Stegostoma tigrinum: one gene and its partners. The protein of the gene in region 1 interacts with the protein of each later gene in a pairwise test. Links are inferred from orthologs where the notes say so. Each region holds a gene or a part of one and is shown in the gene's direction. Other genes may lie near its edges. The genes, in order: tfip11, phostensin-like and lmo4.

What was found.
Region 2: the proteins of tfip11 (region 1) and phostensin-like interact in binary tests that used the Homo sapiens proteins (3 or more experiments, as listed by UniProt). The link is inferred for Stegostoma tigrinum from reciprocal best matches to the Homo sapiens genes TFIP11 and PPP1R18.
Region 3: the proteins of tfip11 (region 1) and lmo4 interact in binary tests that used the Homo sapiens proteins (3 or more experiments, as listed by UniProt). The two-hybrid records come from large-scale screens. The link is inferred for Stegostoma tigrinum from reciprocal best matches to the Homo sapiens genes TFIP11 and LMO4.

What each region holds. Positions count from the first base shown.
Region 1 is NC_081379.1:17,493,824-17,499,578, forward strand, and holds the start of tfip11 (tuftelin-interacting protein 11), read left to right. Parts: upstream 1-2,479; 5' UTR 2,480-2,490; coding exon 2,491-2,601; intron 2,602-2,629; coding exon of another isoform or gene 2,630-2,784; exon of another isoform or gene 2,785-3,306; intron 3,307-5,755. Other genes in the region: srrd (SRR1-like protein), read right to left, coding at 537-763, 1,489-1,529, 2,630-2,784. UniProt on the Homo sapiens protein: Involved in pre-mRNA splicing, specifically in spliceosome disassembly during late-stage splicing events. Intron turnover seems to proceed through reactions in two lariat-intron associated complexes termed Intron Large (IL) and Intron Small (IS).
Region 2 is NC_081387.1:14,388,067-14,393,821, reverse strand, and holds the start of phostensin-like, read left to right. Parts: upstream 1-1,695; 5' UTR 1,696-3,587; coding exon 3,588-5,546; intron 5,547-5,755.
Region 3 is NC_081361.1:90,463,918-90,469,672, reverse strand, and holds the start of lmo4 (LIM domain transcription factor LMO4), read left to right. Parts: upstream 1-1,631; 5' UTR 1,632-1,722; intron 1,723-5,755. UniProt on the Homo sapiens protein: Transcription cofactor. Plays a role in establishing motor neuron identity, in concert with MNX1, acting, at least in part, to disrupt LDB1-LHX3 complexes thereby negatively modulating interneuron genes in motor neurons.

The sequences.
Region 1 (5,755 bases):
CAAAAAAAACTGTGCATTAAAGAAATGATTTATTTCTGGATGAGGCATGAGCTGAATCAAAAGTAAAGCCCTCCATCCACTTCACGCTGTTAAAACAAGGTGTGTGAATGATTCTTATGTCTCCTTCAGCTTGCTTTGAAAATATGATTTCAGACTGAGTTTATCATACGAGGAAGCACAGTTGCAAAACTTTTCACATTTCGCTATGTGGTATTACCTGTTCGAAGATGTTTGTTTTGAATGTTTTTCACTGTCCATTCCTAAATCTGCAGATTTATAGATTTAGAGAATTATCATTTTAAACATAGTTATGAGTCACTGATTTATTTCCACAAAAAAGTACAAAAACACTAGACTTTTGCTGAATGAAAGATACACCGTGCAAGAAGAATGGGACAAGCAGAATCAAAGATGGAAAAGCAACTTGTTAATACAACTATGGTTTCTAAGCATTCAGGAATGATGCAAACTAACATTACTCAATGGACTCTTTAGCTCCCCATTCACTTCACACATTAGCACCTGACTACACTTACCTGTAGTGTCTCTAGCAGTAGGAACAGCAGGGCCAGCTGATAACGAGATGACATGGAAGTAGAAAAATTTCCGATTCCATAACATACCGAGTTAAGCATATATCGATAATGATCTGTATTTTTCTTTTTGTGTCCAAGGTAATCTGGAGGTTCCCCAGTAGGGAAGGGACTTGATGGAGATACAAGTTGATCTGTATGATGCATATTCACAACTCTTTGAAAGGTTTCTGAAACAGATTGTGACAATTACCATCTCAGGAAGCAAACTGAATGTCGTAAAAATTGCAAATAGATAATTACAGAATTGTTTCAGGTGCATGTCATTCAGTCCAGCATGTCTGAACTAGCTTTCTGAACATCCACCTGTCACCTTTATTGACTTATGTACATATACAGCAGGTCTCTCACCTCTCTGCCTACTCCACCAACTTGTAATTTTCCTCCTGAAATTCTACGCTATCCTCCTCTCAGTTTATAATGCTCCCAACTTTGAAGTTATCTCCTGCACTTCAAGATTCAGACCCCTTACATATATCAGGAAAAGCAAGAATTCCAACACTGACTCCTGGGGAACTCCACAATACATCTTACTCAAGCCCAAAAAACATCCACTAACAATTACTCTGTTTCCTATCACTTAGCCAATTTTATATCCACATTGCTATAGTTCTCTTTATTCCATAAACTACAACTTTTGTTTTACAAGTCTATTGTGTGGCACTATATTGAACTCTTTTTGCAAGTCCATGTACACAATATTGACCACATTGCCCTCATCAATTCTCTTTATCACCTCTTCAAACACTTCAGCTAGCTAGACATGATTTTCCTTTGACAAATCCGCGCTGGCCTTTCTGAATTAATCAATATTTTCACATGTGACGATGAATACTATCCTGAACAATTGATTCTAGAAACATTCCCATGTTAGAACTTAAGTCTACCAACTCACCGAGGCAATCAATCCAGAATTCTGAACTTTGCAGTTCCTTTCTGTAATAAAGTTCAATGGTTAGTTTTTCCATCACAGAAAGCTATGATTATTTTGTAGGTGTCAAATTTACAGGGACAAAGCAAGTAAAGAGTAGGTCTGACCATATGTCTTGTTTCTTGTAATAATAGGTGAATAAATTATTTTAAACTTATCTTGTAGAGAATGAAAAAGAAAGGAAACTGTTAGGAATGAGCCAACACTTAAGGTACATTTAATCGCTTCCACAATTTATTAACTTGGATGCCTAATTATGACGCTGTGACTTAACTGAAGTATTCAAAATGGAATGACAGAATTTCAGCTGGACAGGAGGGAGCATACTGGCCAATCATACCATTTAAGTGAACTTGAAAAGCCAGATGAGTCACATCTGAAAAATCTACTTGAATATGTACCTTGAGATCTCAACATAAAGTGAAATATTTCACCACTATAAATGTAATTGTGATAGAAAATGCTATCATGATAGACTAGGAGAAATGGTTTGATTGAACACATAGATTGTATTGGCCAACCATGGCAGTTGTAAATGTCAAAATAATGAATAAAAGAACTGGAGATGTTGGAGATTTGAAATAAAAACTGAAAGTGCTGGCAAAATTCAACAGGTCTGGAAGCAACTGTTCGGAGATGGCTGAATGAACATCTCGAGTTCAGTGACTCTTCATTAGAATAGAATTGTCAAGGCCTTAGGAGCAAATTACTGCAGATGCTGGAATCTGTACTGAAAACAACCAATGCTGGAGATCACAGGAGGTCGTACAGCATCCATGGGAAGACCTTTCCAGGTCCATATCAATTGCCTTATCGAGTAGTGTTGGCTGTGTGCCTAACTCAGATTGGCTTCCGTTTTCAGTGACTCCTGAAGTTGGATTTTAGTACATTTCCCCCCCTTTTTATTACGCCAACACACAGCAATCTGTGGACGTATGTGTGTGCTCCACGTCTCACACGTCTCAGATGTTTCTGGATACGTTATCTCTGGTCTGGCACGAGCGAGAGGCTGAAGGTGTTTCCCTACAAATGTCGGGACCAAAATCCATCAGATCAACCCCGCAGCAGCAGCAGGAGGTGGGTTCTGACAATTCAGTGAACTTACACTGCTTCCTTTATTTTCTGTTGCATTCTCTCCCCTTCAGCCACACTCGGATATTCCACCGCGTGGGGAACCTCTCTGGCATTTTCTCTCCGTTTCTTTACTCCTTTTTTCTTTCTGATTGTTTTCCATTCTCCTTCTGCTGGTAAGGCAGACATCTCTCTCTGTAATTAAGTTTGAAGAAGGGCCGTACCAAACTGCATCCTTTCAGTGTGCCCGTGTTGTTGCTGAGGAAGCTGAGATCTGGTGCAGGGGCAACAGGTTTCGAGATTATGGGCCTCAGCTGGGACGATGTGTAAAACAAAAACTGGAAACTCTGAGAACTGCTCCCTCTGGGAAGAAGAGAAACAAGATTTTTAAATTACATGGAGTGTTTATTCCTCCTTTCTGTCTGTTCCTGGTTATTTAATTTCCCAGTTCCTCAGAGCGTTTAACTGTTTTACACGACCCACGGTGCCTCTCGGTTCACTGTTCCCACTGACACCATCACCTTTGCAGGTTCTGTTTCCTGACCGCGGGCCGGAACCATTGTACGCTCTCGGTGTTTCCCGACAGCGGAGTTCCGGGCACGGACCATAGGATGGCGGATGTGGTTCGTTGGTGAGACATCGGTTTAAAGTTATCTCCGAGAGGCGGAGGGCGCGCGGCGGCGGCTTTGTGGCTGGAATTAACCGAAAGCGGTGAGTTTGGGTTGTGGACTTTGTTCCTGTTCGTTTTGTTGGACGATTCCTAAACTGCACCCAGGCCGACTGAGAGAACCGGAGAGCGGCCTGTGTGTGTGTGTGAGAGAGAGAGAGGGAGAGAGAGACACTGTACTCTAATCCTGACAGTCCGTTCCCCGTAATATGCACACAACCCCTGTTCCGCGCCGCCCCCCCCCCCCCCCAATTCCATTAGACCATAAGATCTAATTCGGATGTTCAGCCCATTCGTGTCTGCACCACCATCCGATCATGGTCGATATGTCTCAACCCCGTTCTCTCACCTTCTCCCCCAACCCCTGATCCCGTTACTAATCAACAACCTAACTATCTCTGACTTAATACGCTCAATGACTCAGCCAACACAGTTTCACCACCTGGCTGAAGAAATTCCTCCTCGTTTCAGTTTTACAGGGTTGTTCCTTTGCTTAGAAGCTGTGCCCTCAGGTCCTAGTCTCTCCTAGTAGAGGAAATATCATCTCCACAACCTCTTTGCCCAAGCCTCTCGGTATTCTGTAAGTTTCAATGAGATCTCCTCTCACGCGTTGAGTACAGGTCCAGAATCCTTAACGACTTCTTCTATGACAAGTTCTTCATCTCCAGGATCATGCTTGGAAACCTCCTCTGAATGCCCTCCAATGGCAGTGAATCCTTTCTTAAATACAGGGCACAAAACTGCTCACAATATTGCAAATGTGCCTGACTAGAGCCTTACACTGCATCTGCAGTACGTCTCTGCTCTTTTATTCTAGTCCGCTTGACATGAATGCTAACATTTCATTTGCCTTCCTAATTGCCAGATGAATCTGCATGTTAACCTTAAGAGAATCCCGGACAAGTAGTCCCAAATGCCTTTGTGCATTTGATTTCTGAAGTCTTTCCCAATTTAGAAAATAGTACGTGCTTCTATTGCTCCTACTCAAGTGGATAACCTCACTCTTTACCACATTGTATTCCATTTGCCACTTCTCCAGCCACTCTCCTAGCTTGTTGAAATCCTGCTTCATCAACATTACCCGTCCCTCCACCCATTCTTGTGCTTTTTTTCAAACATGCAGTTTGTTGATCTATAAAATGAATGGTTGTGGTTGTAACATTGACCCCCCGTAGAACTTCACTAGTTACAGGCTACCATCCAGAAAAAGATCCGTTTATTCCGATCTGTGCCTTCTGCCCATCAGCCAATCCTCTATCAACGCCAACACCTTGTCCCCAACACCATGGGCTTTTTTTTTAAAGCAGCCTCCTGTGCAGCGGCTTGTCAGAGGTTTCCTGGATATCCAAATGGGCCACATCCATCGGCTTTTCTTCATCAAACTTGTTTATTACCTCCTCAAAGGATTGCAATAGATTGTAAGGCACGACCTCCCCTTGAAGCAGTGCTGACTCAGTTCTTCTTTATCATGCACTTCCAAGTTCTCTGCAAACTTTTCCTTTGTAATTGACTCTAAAATCTTACCAGCAACCAAGCTCAGGCTAACTGACATATAATTCTCCATCTTCAGGCTCCGTCTTTTCTTAAACAACTTGTTACATTAGCCATTTTCCAGTCCTCTGGGGCCCACCTGTCACACAGGTGATGCCTGAAAGATCATCACCACCAATGTCTCCATAATCTTCTCAGCTCTCTCTTTCAGAACTCTGGGATATGGTCCACCCACTCTGGGTGATTCATCCACCTTCAGACCGTTCAGCTTCCCCAACATCATCACCTTACTGATGTCCACTACACTCAACCATGCCCCTTGACACTCTGAAGTTTTGTTATGATCCATGAAGAATGATGCAAAGCATCAATTAAGTTCATGATTTCTTTGTTTCTCATTAGTCCTTCTCAGCCTCATTTTTCAGCATTCCAATGTCCACCCTTGCCTCACTTACTTCTTATTTATCTAAAAGAAAACTTGTTCAATTTTTTTTCATATTACCAGCTAGCTTACTCTCATATTTCATCTTCTCCCCCTTATTGCTTTTTTGTTTGCACTTTGCTGGCTTTTAAACCCTCTGACTTCCCAATAATCCTCACCATGTTGTGTGCTTTTTCTTTTACTTTTGCATTGTCCCTAACTTCCCTTGTCAGCTATGCTTGCCTCATCCTCCCTGTAATATGTTTCTCCTTCCTTAGGATGAATTTCTCCTGAACTACCCCGAGAAACCTCTGCCATTACTGCTGTGCTGTCTTCCCTGCTGGGTATGCCTTCCAAACTACTGTAGCCAGATCCTCTGTTATGACTTTGTAGTAACCTTTTCTCAATTGTAATATTGCTACATCTGATTCCACCTTCTTCCTCTCAAAATGGAGGATGAATTCTATCATATTATGATATTATCTCCCCACAATCTCCCACTCTCTCCTTTAACAGTCTGTTCCTCACCCCACAACCTCCCTGTCTCTTCCTGTCCCCCACCACAATCTCCCACAACTTTT
Region 2 (5,755 bases), on another chromosome or scaffold:
TCCTGCCACTCCAAGCTGTGTTCTCTAGCCTGCTCTGTCTCAGGCCTGCTGCAGTGCTCTAGCGAAGCTCAGCGCAAGCTCAAAAAAAAATCTCTCTTTCTGCTTGGGGACCCGGCAGCCTCTAGGGCTCAACGTCAAATTAAATAAGTTTAGAGCCTGATTCCAGCCTTCCATTTTTTAACCCACTGCCAGACCCAGTCCTGTGACAGCATGGGTTTCTTTTAGCCCGGTCACCCATTCTCACGTAATCCTAGGCCCATGGTTAGAGACATAAAATACTGCAGATGCTGGAATCCAAGGTAGACAAACAGGACGCTGGAAGAATACAGCAGGCCAGGCAGCATCTGCAGGTGAGCAGCAATCGGGTACACTTCTCAATAGAGCTCTCCTGTGTTCTCACTCTTTGATTGCATGATCTCTTATTCAGCTTTTTTTCTGTCCTGGCCAGCTATCTGTTATCTTCTTGTTTACATTTCTCTGTCATATCTTTCTCCATCTCTCTGACCTCCATCTATACCTATACACTCACCTCCGCTCTCCCCCACACTTTGGTTCCAGCATAAATACCAGTTTCCCCCAGCTACTTGCAGTTCAGATGCAACTCAAAATGTGCTTCCGTCCCACAAATGCTTACATATGCTTGTTCTGCCAGTCACTTCAAATCTGTGCCCTGTCTTTCTTGATCTCTTTTTACAAATCGTACAGTTTCTCTCTGTCAACGCTGTCCAGCCCCTGCATGATTTTGAACAATTCTATCGGATCTCCTCTAAGCCTTCTCATTCTACAGGAGGACAGTCCTGATCTCCCCATTCTATCTCTCCCTCTATATTCTCCCTCACTGTATCTTCTCTCTCCTCTCCTGCTCGCTAACTCCCTCTTCCTATTCCTTTCTCTAAATTCTCTCTGTGCCTCTCTCTGTCTCTTTTCCCCACCTCCCTTTGCCTGCTCCCTTGACCCTTTCTCTAACTCCTTCTTCCCATTCCACTTTCTCTTTCCTCTCTGTCTGTAACTCTCTCTACTCCCTTTCTCAATTCCCTGTCTCTCTGTTCACTGTCTCTCATTATTTCCTCTTTCTATTTACTCTTGCTCCATTCACTCTGTCACTCCCGCCTCTCTATCCCTCCTCTCCTGTTCTCTATCTCCATCTTTCTATTCCTCCTCTCTCTATTCCCCTCCCTTCCTAGTCTACATGCTCCCCCTCTCTATTTTCATTTGCTGTCTCTCTCTCTACACCTCATTTTTCTCTCGGTCAGGTCTCACTTTATTCTGTCTTCCTTCTCGGCCTTTCTTTATTACACTCCCATTCCCTCAACCCTCTCTCTCTCTCCCCACCTCCTTTCTCTCTCTCTCTCTCTCTCCACCTCCAACCCTCTGTTCCCCACTCACTCTCTCCCCCAACCCTCTATCCCCCCACTCACTCTCTCCCCCCACACACTCCTCACCCCACTCACTCCCTCTCCTTCCCCCCTTTATCTCCCTATCACCCCACCCCCTTTCTCTGTCTCCCACTCCCTCACCCTGTCTTCCCCCAACCCCCCTCTCTCTCCCACCCAGCCCCCTTCTCTCTCTCCAACCCTCCCCTTCCCCCCTTCCCCCTTTCTCTCTTCCCCCCTTCCCCCTTTCTCTCTTCCCCAACCCCTCTCTCCCATCCCACCTTGTTCTCACTCTCTTCCACCCACTGTCTCCCTTCACCCTTCCTCTCCCCCCTTCTCTCTCTCTCCCCCACGACCCTCTCTCTAATCTACAAGTCTCTCCCTGTTCCCACCCTCTGCAGTCATTTACTTTCTGTCTCCATTCCTCGTTTTATTTTATTCTCTCTCCATTCAGTCTCACTTTATTTTCTCTGCCTTCGCGCTCTCTCTACCTCTCTGTCCATTCACCCCTAGTCCCAGCCCCACACTCTCTCTCCCTCCCCCGTCTCTCTCTCTCTCTCTCTCTCTCTCTGTTTCCTGCCCTCTCCCGGATGCTCTCTCTCTCTCTCGAACACACACACACTCAGTCACCGTGAGCAGCAGCGGGTTCCCAGTCCCGGGGAGATTACGGGATCCCCCGTCGGACCCCACCACCGCAGGCAGCTTCAAATCCCGAGCGAGAGCTCGCCAGCGGGGAGAGTCCCCCCCCCGCGCCCCGGGATCCGCAGCCTCCGGGCGGTCAGGAACACCCACCCCGAGCCGCTCCTTTTGTTCGGGAAGCCGGGGCGGCACCCAGGACCCAGCACTGTCCCGGGACAGCGGAGTGTCTGACCCGGGAGACATCACCATCGCCTTCCCTCCCGCCTGGAATCGACCCCATGGGAGCACAGAGACAGAGATTTATCCCAGGATAGACTGTCATCCCCGGGACGGAGGTAGGGATAGACAGGAGGCCGTATCCCGAGAACAGAGAGCGCGACTTATTCCCAGGATCGAGAGAAAGGCTTATCCCTGACAGAGAGATTTATCTTGGGACAGACCGTGGAGTTTCCCTGTCAAAGGATTTATCCCGGTACGGACAGAAGGAGTTCCCTGATCCAGAGAGAAGGAGGGATCTATCCTGGGGCAGATGGGGACCTGAGCGTTCCCATGAGGTGCGCAGGGGTACCTGACCATGGCTTCGGTGGGTGAACTGCTGGCTGTGTGCTCCCAAGGGTCGGAGTGTCAGGGTCTGAGGGTATGGAATGTGAGGGTCTGATAGTGAGAGTCCGAGCGTTGGGTATTGAGTGAGGGTCTGAGTGTTGGGTATTGAGTGAGGTCTGAGTGTTGGGTATTGAGTGACGGTTTGATTGTGAGGGTCTGAGTGTTGGGTATTGAGTGACGGTCTGATTGTGAGGGTCTGAGTGTTGGGTATTGAGTGAGGTCTCAGTGTTGGGTATTGAGTGAGGGTCTGATTGTGAGTGTCTGAGTGCTGGGTATTGAGTGAGGATCTGACTGTTGGGTATTGAGTGAGGGTCTGAGTGTTGGGTATTGAGTGACGGTTTGATTGTGAGGGTCTGAGTGTTGGGTATTGATTGAGGTCTGAGTGTTGGGTATTGAGTGAGGGTCTGATTGTGAGTGTCTGAGTGTTGGGTATTGAGTGAGGGTCTGAGTGTTGGGTATTGAGTGAGGGTCTGAGTGTTGGGTATTGAATGAGGGTCTGATTGTGAGTGTCTGAGTGTTGGGCATTGAGTGTGAGGGTCTGAGTGTTGGGTATTGAGTGTGAGGGTCTGAGTGTTAGGTATTGTGAGGGTCTGAGTGTTGGGTATTGAGTGAGAGTCTGAGTGTTGGGTATTGAGTGAGGGTCTGATTGTGAGTGTCTGAGTGTTGGGTATTGAGTGTGAGGGTCTGAGTGTTGGGTATTGAGTGTGCGAGTTGAGTATTGAGTGTGTGTTTTGAGTGTCTGTAATGTCTCAGGGTGAAAGATTTGGTGTTTGGCCATAGATCTGGATCTTGCTCTGTCCCATATGGCATTGTCTGAAGGTCACCATCTTTGAGACCCCGTCGATTTCCCAGTGAGACAGGGTGACCCAGGGGTGAAGTCAGTCGTGGGTGGGTGGAGCAGGTTTTAGTGACCAGAACTGGGGCAGGCTTGACCCCTTCACTTTCCACCAGTGACTGGGCTGAAACTCCACAATGACGTCTCCTCCTCAGTGGAAGGTTCAGCTGCTGGAGAGGAAGAGAAGGGATGAGGAAGAGGAAAGGCGCAAGGAGAAGGAAGAACAGGAGAGGCTGGCCAGAATTCCGGCCTGGAAGAGGGAGATCATCGAGAGGAGGCGGGCCAGGCTGTGCCCTGGGTCATCGTCTTTGGAAATACAGGCCGAGGGTCAGGCTGGGTCTAGCCCGATGGGCTCTGCAGCCAAGGCTGGGACTGATGGGACAGAGCCTGAGGCCTGCGTTGCCACGGCGACAGACAGCGTGGTGCTGCGGGAGAACATTGGGCCCCTGCGCCAGAATCACTTTATCCAGCGGGAGAAGCAGAGGAAGGGAGGTTCGGAGCTGGAGCAGGCCCCTCTGGGTGTCCCAGGGACCGAGATGATCTGTCACACCCCAGGGGTGACCATCATACAGGCAGACGACATCACCATCATTGAATCCGGGCCCAGGCTCCCGGGCACCAGTGAGAAGCTGCCGAGTGTGAATGGCCTGGCCGGCCAGCAGGGGGCATGTCGGCCTGACCTCCGTTCCCCCTTGAGCAGGAGTGTGGAGGATCTGAACTCCTTTGGGAAGTGCCGAGCGGAGTTGGGAGAGGAGGGCCCCAAACGTGGGCGGGTCAGCCGGCTACTGTGCAGGTTCGGCCAGCAGGGGCGCACCTGGGCGACCAGAGATGGCGGGGTGGGGGAGGAGACAAAGGCTCTTGCGGCACGGCCTTCTCGCTCCCGCAGCACCGAGAACATCCTGGAGCGCCCGGGACGCTCAGGGGCATCCTCTGGCCCACCGAGGAGCCCTCACGCCCCGCGCCAAGGACGCAGGCCCCAGTCCCGCTCTCCCCCCACCACCTCCCCTCCGCGCACGGTCTCCACCTCCCGCAGCCGCTTCGAGGCCTGGTTGGCGACAGAGACACCCAGCCGAGCCGCCAATGAGGAGGAGGCCCAGCCCGCTAGGCCAGGGTCCCAGGGGATGGTTGGGGAGGGAGGACGAGGAGGGGGAGGAGGAAGAGGGGGAGGAGGACGCCTCAGGCCTGGTTGTTTGGGCAGCGGGAGGTGGGATCCAGATCCAGGCCCCGGCATAGTGAGGGACGGCAAGGCTGAACCCAGGGAGGCCCAGGCTCTGGTTGATGGCCAGGCTGCACCCTCCAAGCAGCAGCAGGGGGAGGAGGAGGAGGAGGAGGCCAAAGCCTCCGTCCTCCTCCCCGACCCACCCTCCCCCAACGATGTAAACACTCTCGGCTCCTCCAGGCCACAGCAGCCTGTCAATGTGGCTTCCTCTTCCTGTGCAGAGCAGGCCCCTACAGCTTCCTGCCTTCCTGCTGTTGCTACTGCTGGTGCGGCAACAGACCAGAGACGCACTGGGGATCCTGGACCACAGGGTGGGACGCCTGAGCTAGGCCTGGACAGGGCCCCCTTCACCGAGCCCGGGCCAGATCCAGACACCAGTCAGGGGGGGCCCAGCAGCAACATGAGCGGGCCGCAGCCTCCCACTGTGGGCCCCCGGGAAACCAGGCTTCCGGCCTTCCCTGTCCGAGCCAGCTATGGAGGAGGGGGTGGGGGAGTGGTCGCCCGGGAGACAGAGGGCGCAAGTGACGGAGGGCGGGGGCGGCAGGGTACCCTGTCGTCCACGCCCTCAAGGCCAGGCCCCGAGGCGGTGTTGGAGGATGGCGAGGGGAGGCAGCGGCCTACCTTCTCTCCCGGCCCCCAGCGCAAGTCAGGGAGAACCATCACCATCAACCCCCGCAAGATGGCAGCCAACAAGACCCCGTCTCCTGGCAACGCCGCGACAACAGAGAACGGCATCTTGGGGACGCCACCCCCCGCTGGCTTGCCCGCGGCCCCGGCAAAGAAACGGTACCCGACGGCCGAGGAGATCCAGGTGATCGGTGGCTACCTGACGCTGCAGAGGTCCTGCCTGGTCAAGTCTGGCGTGAGCCGAGGGAAGGTAGGAGGCATACCCCGGGGTTGGGGGGGGTAGGGACAGTGAATCAGGCAATGGGGCACGCCGGGAAGGTGGACGCTGGAGGAGGGCGGAGGTAGGGATAATGTGAGGGGTACGTTCATCAAGGGGTTTAAGCTGTAAAGACTCCATAAGCTTGATGTGTCAGCACAGGGAAAACTGTTCCTCACCATCACTGTTCCATCACTTGTCTT
Region 3 (5,755 bases), on another chromosome or scaffold:
AGGTGAAACACAAGCCTTTACATGAATATTGCCGTCCCTTGATCAACTCTCTTATCTTTGAGCATGTCAGACTTTCTTACATCTAGCTGCTATAGGCACAATGAATTCACAAATAAAATGAAACTATGTTATTGAATTAAGGTCTTACATCTTCAAAGCAATATGATTTAACAGTTTATGATTTAAGTCAGGATTTCACTAGGTAAAATATACCCTGTACCGTAACATAATTGCCATATCTTGCCAAGTTTGGCAAGCTTTGTGCTTTGACTTTTATCTTACTGAATATATTTGAACCTTTCTTCATAGTTTTCTATTGAGTATATAATGTAGCATGGTACACCCATATTAAAAAAAGGTATCATTCAATTTCATAGAAATTGTGCAACTTATTCAAAGTAAAATTTAACTGCAGACATTATACAATTTATATATCTCCTAACCTACAATGTTTTGCAATTGTTGTGAACATTATAAAGGCAGAGTTATCTTTCCTCCTTTGACCATTTATATTATCAAAGCATTTTTAAATGTTAAAGCTTTAGCGAGACCATCAGTAAATTTTAGTTTGACCATCAATGTCAGAGATCAATGACTGAGAATTTGCAGCAAGAAGGGTGTGCTGCGAGACACGTCATGGATCTAACCTCACATCAGGGTATGTACTGGAGTGCAATTCCAACACTATGTAAATCCAGTTTAAAGGTGTTTGCGAGTCCTATGACTAACTCCTTCTATTTAGTTAAAAAACACCAACTTTGAACTTACGTATCAGTTTTTATGATCTTGAAATGCCACATTATAAGCAATTAGCTACTTTTCAAATGAAGACATCATTGTACTTTAGAACTTGAAGCTGCCAAATTTGGCAGAGCAAGCACTCACAACCAGCTCACTGATCACGACCACAGAGCCACAGAGATGTACAGTATGGAAACAGATCCTTCAGTCCAACTCATCCATGCCAGCCAGACATCCTAAATTAATCTAGCCCCATTTGCCAGCATTTGGCCCACATCCCTCTAAATCCTCCTCATTCATGTACCTATCCACATGACTTTGTAATGTTCGGATAATTCATTTCCTTGTGTAATATTAGCTGAGGAATAAATAATACCATGACAAAGCAGAAAATTCTCCAGCCCTTCTTGGAAATTAGATTGTGTTAAATTGCCACCTGAAAGAACAGCCAACTGCTTGGTTTGACATCTAATCCGAGTGAAACACACTTTCAGTCGGGCTCTGGACAGTCATCTTTCTTTAGCACCAAATCTTGGAGTACTACGCCTGAACAAGGGCTGACATTAAAATGACAAGGTAGGCATCTTTTTACTGGCATTGGATATGAATGTGCAAAAAACATGTTCACAGCCCACTCTAGTTGCAAAAAACTTTTATGGAAAGCAGGCTTTTTAAAAAGGCACTATTCTAGTTGGAATCTGTACATTATAAGGCCATTCAATGAATACTTTTTTTAACATAACTTGATATCTTAAGCCTTCTCGGTGTTTTGGTTCAGTTCAAGTGTAGCCTATTGTCAGTTCTGGCAACTTATGAAGCCAGTTGATGATCAGCAGTGAAGTTCCAGCTCTTCCCAGCAGGAGGGGCCAACTCTTCAGCCACTCCCTCCAGCAAGTGCGAAAATTGTGAGGCTAGTCATTTGCTGCTGAAGATGTGTGACGGACTCTGAGGTACTTTGAGGAAGATTACTCGCAAACACAAGTAAGTAGATTCTTTGAAAATGAAAGCCTGCATTAAATTACTATTTGATTGGCTTAAAACGACATAGTTGCAACTAGTAAGAGTATTAAATATATGAACTCGTCAGAATCCAGATCATACTGAGAGCGCAGAACAGCTGCGCGGCGAATCCTTAAGGGCTAATGTTGTTGTAAAAACTATTGACAAAATTGGCGCGTTTTGTTGTCCTTTGTGTCTGTTTTTGGAGTTTGTCTTGTTTCGCTCTGTGTTTGTTTAGCCAGCAGAATTAATTTGGGAGGGATAGAAGGGTCGAAGGTGTGTGAGAAGGAGAAAATAACACTTGCCCAGTTCAGAGACTGAGCGAAGACCTGACGGGTCTCTGGTTGATAAAGCAAGCCTATCTCGTGTTTCCAGAATTAATGACGGGGTTAACGTGGGCCCTGATAGCTTGTTACTGTAAATAAAAGACATAAAGCAGTCCCTTCCTTAAGAGCAGGCTGAAACAGCACTGTAGCTGTGAAATATGTAGCTAATTAAACCTATTGGTGTAAACTAATAAAGTATATGTGCCCGTTAGATTTCTTATTCTAATGAATCTGAACTAATTTGCCTTGACTGATGAATTTTCTGTTAGCAGTGGGTAGAATAATTATGAAATTTATCACTCGGCAGCTCATTAGAATCTACCTGCCCATATCATGGTATTTTGTGTGTGTGTGTGTGTGTGTGTGTGTGGTGTGGACTCTAATCATCTATGAACTGAAGCAAACACTCAAACCCTCGCCAATACTGGGCGGGAGCCTTTTCCGAACGCATTGCACTGGGGGATTTCGACTCTTAATACACTTTTACCTCGATCATATTACAGAGAGCAGGGCAATATTTCCCCGCCATTTACCAAAAAGCTCATTAAAGGACAAACAATGAGTCCCTTCCGAGGCTCGCATTCAAGTCACTTCATCATTCTCCCTTGTTTTAATAGTCTCAGCAAATTAATTATTCCATTGTGAAAACCGTATTATTCACATCATTCATTTCACTGAATAGGTTGGCAACTCGGGTCTGGGTGGAATTTAAGGAGAAATTAGAAAACTGGAACAAATCTGCTAGTCAGTAGAGAGAGAGAGAGAGACAGAGAGAGAGAGACAATAGTTCATTAATTGTTAGGGTGGGGGTAGCGTTTGGAGTTTCACATTAAAATCCACGAATACCTGAGATTTTCCTCAGTTTGAGCCCACACTCTCGTCAAACTTGACGAACTCAAACTTAAATGACGCTGAAACTCAAACAGAAAATAATCGCGTTTTTACTTTCGGGCCTTAGAGTGTGCAATAATTGACAAAAGTGTAACTTGAGTTTTTGTGTGTGTGGGTTTTGATTCGGGCTCAGTTTCATCACAGGAGCAGAAAGCGGAGACACAGAGGGAGGGGAAAGAAAGATCCCACGGAATTGGGTCAATAAAGCATCACTGTCACTCATTAGCACCCTCGTTAACCCTGTCAATTTCTAAACTGCAAATACCTGTGAACAAAACGCGCGCACACACACCCACCCACTTTATAATGAAGTAAACCTCTCTTTTGGTCAGCGTCTCTGCCTGGAGCCTCGAACCCTCCGCCCCCTGACTTTCGGACACTTGCAGGCATTTCTGAGTTCTCAAACGGCCTCAGTGACCCATGGACGGAGCTAGCTGATGGGTTAGTAGCTAGGCTGTGAGTGATGGCCGTGACTCCCCTCATAAATCCCCGGGTTCTCCACGTGGATTTTTTTCCCAGGGCCTGGAGGGGTTAGCTTCAGCTCTTGGTGGTGAATGACAGGCCAATAATTCACTCGGTGCAGCCGGTGATAACATCGCAGAGCTACGTTGTGATTTACAGTAACCTCCCTCCATGTGACTTCTGCCTTTGACTGAAAGACTATCTGCCCGGATCTTACCAGCAATAACCAGATTATTTATAACTTGCAACCTTCTTGTAATTAACCGCGGATCAGTTGTATTTAAACCAGATCTCTGTTTCGAAAAGGAAGGGCTGCTGTTAGGTTGGTGCCTGTGGTGATTGGGAACAGTCTATTGACTATGCCTCGCCTCGACGATGTTTTCACTTTACTCACAACGCTTCCGCAAGCAAACGGTTCCCGCGAAGTAACAAAGAAAGCTTATAGCTCACTGTGATTCTCATAGCTGTGAAACGAAAAGTCTTGTTCAACCTCCATCTTCAAGTGTGAGAGGAGCAAGTATTCTCAAACCTTGAAACTGTAATAAAAACAGAAAGTGCTGGAGATACTCAGCAGATCAGGCAGAGAGCGAAAAATAGTCAACGTTTCGAGTCTAGTATGTCTCTTCCATGCATATATAGACTTATAAAATATATCATACAGGATTCTATAAAATAACGGTGTGGAGTCACACGACATCAGATTATAATCCACCAGCGCTGCTCCGAAAGCTTGCGATTTCAAATAAACCTGTTGGGCCATTCTCCAGCATCTGCAGTTCCTACTATCTCTGGACAATAATCTGGTGTCGTATGACTTCTGACTCTATTAAAATAAGTAGTATCTATGATTACATAAAATATTTCATATGTAAGATTATACAAAATACATCATAAATAGATTATGTAAAGCAAATATTATTCCATAATAAATATGCTGACAAATATGATACAAAATTATATAAATTAAAATATGATTCTAATGAAATAAAATTTCCGAAAACTTGCTATAATTACAGTAAAATGTGTTTGTAAAATTTATAAAATTTGTAAAATTTATTTCAAAGTATTTGTAATTTTAGTTTTACAGAAAATATGATTTGATTATACAAATTATCACACGCATGGTTATAATAAAATATTTCACGTATTTGATTATATAAAATATTATTATAGACAAATTATGAGTGTCTTGTCGGACTCAACATTTAACTCCTTTCTCTCGCCATACAGTTGCTGTCAGACCTAGTGAGTTTATCCAGTCCTTTTTGTTTTTATTTCAGATTTCCAGCATCCGCGGTGTTTTTCTTCCCCTCTGTTTTGAAGGTCCTTTGTGAGCTCTGTGATTGGAACCTGTGTGGGTTTGAAAGAAAGCAGCAGGGCGAAGATGCAGAGTAACTTGTTAATGAGCCGCTGATATTTGAAATGTTGAATATGGAGAGGTACAGGTGGTCTTAATTCTGACAGGACACAAACATTCCTTCTAGAATACTGATCATGTACTCAATAATCCAGCTACAGAGAGATAATAAATAAAATGCTTGCTGCTTTAAATGCCATAAGTAATATCATATGCTACAGTTGTACATACTTACAATAATATTATACCTAAAGTTATGTAATTTAAACCACATAATTGGCGTTGCTTTAACAGGAATTTGTTCATGTTGAATAGATAGTACTCAGTGGTTACTACTAATCAGGCTTCTTGCTAATCGAGCATTAGTACTTGTTAAGCACCAGGACTCATTGAAGCTCAGGAATTGGCAGCAAACCAGGTTGTGGTAACACGCGTTTCAGGGAGCTCCATGATTGGGTCCCGGAGAAACCAGGAGCTATAGGAGACCATTCGGCCCTTCAAGCCTGTTCCACCATTCATTATGATCATGGCTGATCATCCAACCCAATAATCGTTTTGATCCTTTAGAACTAAAAACTTTAAAGAACTAAACGCTACATATAAGAATTAAGGACTTATGCACACGCCTTGGAACTGTCGGGAAAGGCATTATGAAGGGGATTGTTTATCGATTACAAACTGAGTTATTTTTTAACCTTGTCATTTTCCAGATATAGGCCTGGTTACTTATTGAGAAGCGTTGTTTACTTTAAACGCGCAGGTGTGGCGTGACATTGAAATAACAAGGGGATACTATTTCATTTAACAGAAAAAGAAAGAAAGACTTACATTCATTTAGCGCCCCTTCATCTCGGGGTCAATGAAGAAATAATGAAGTGGTATTGCTGGCATAATGCAGAAAATAACAGCTGCTTATTTGCGAACAGCAAGCTCCCACAGATGGGAATGCGGCAATGAGTAAGATAACTGTTTTGAGAGT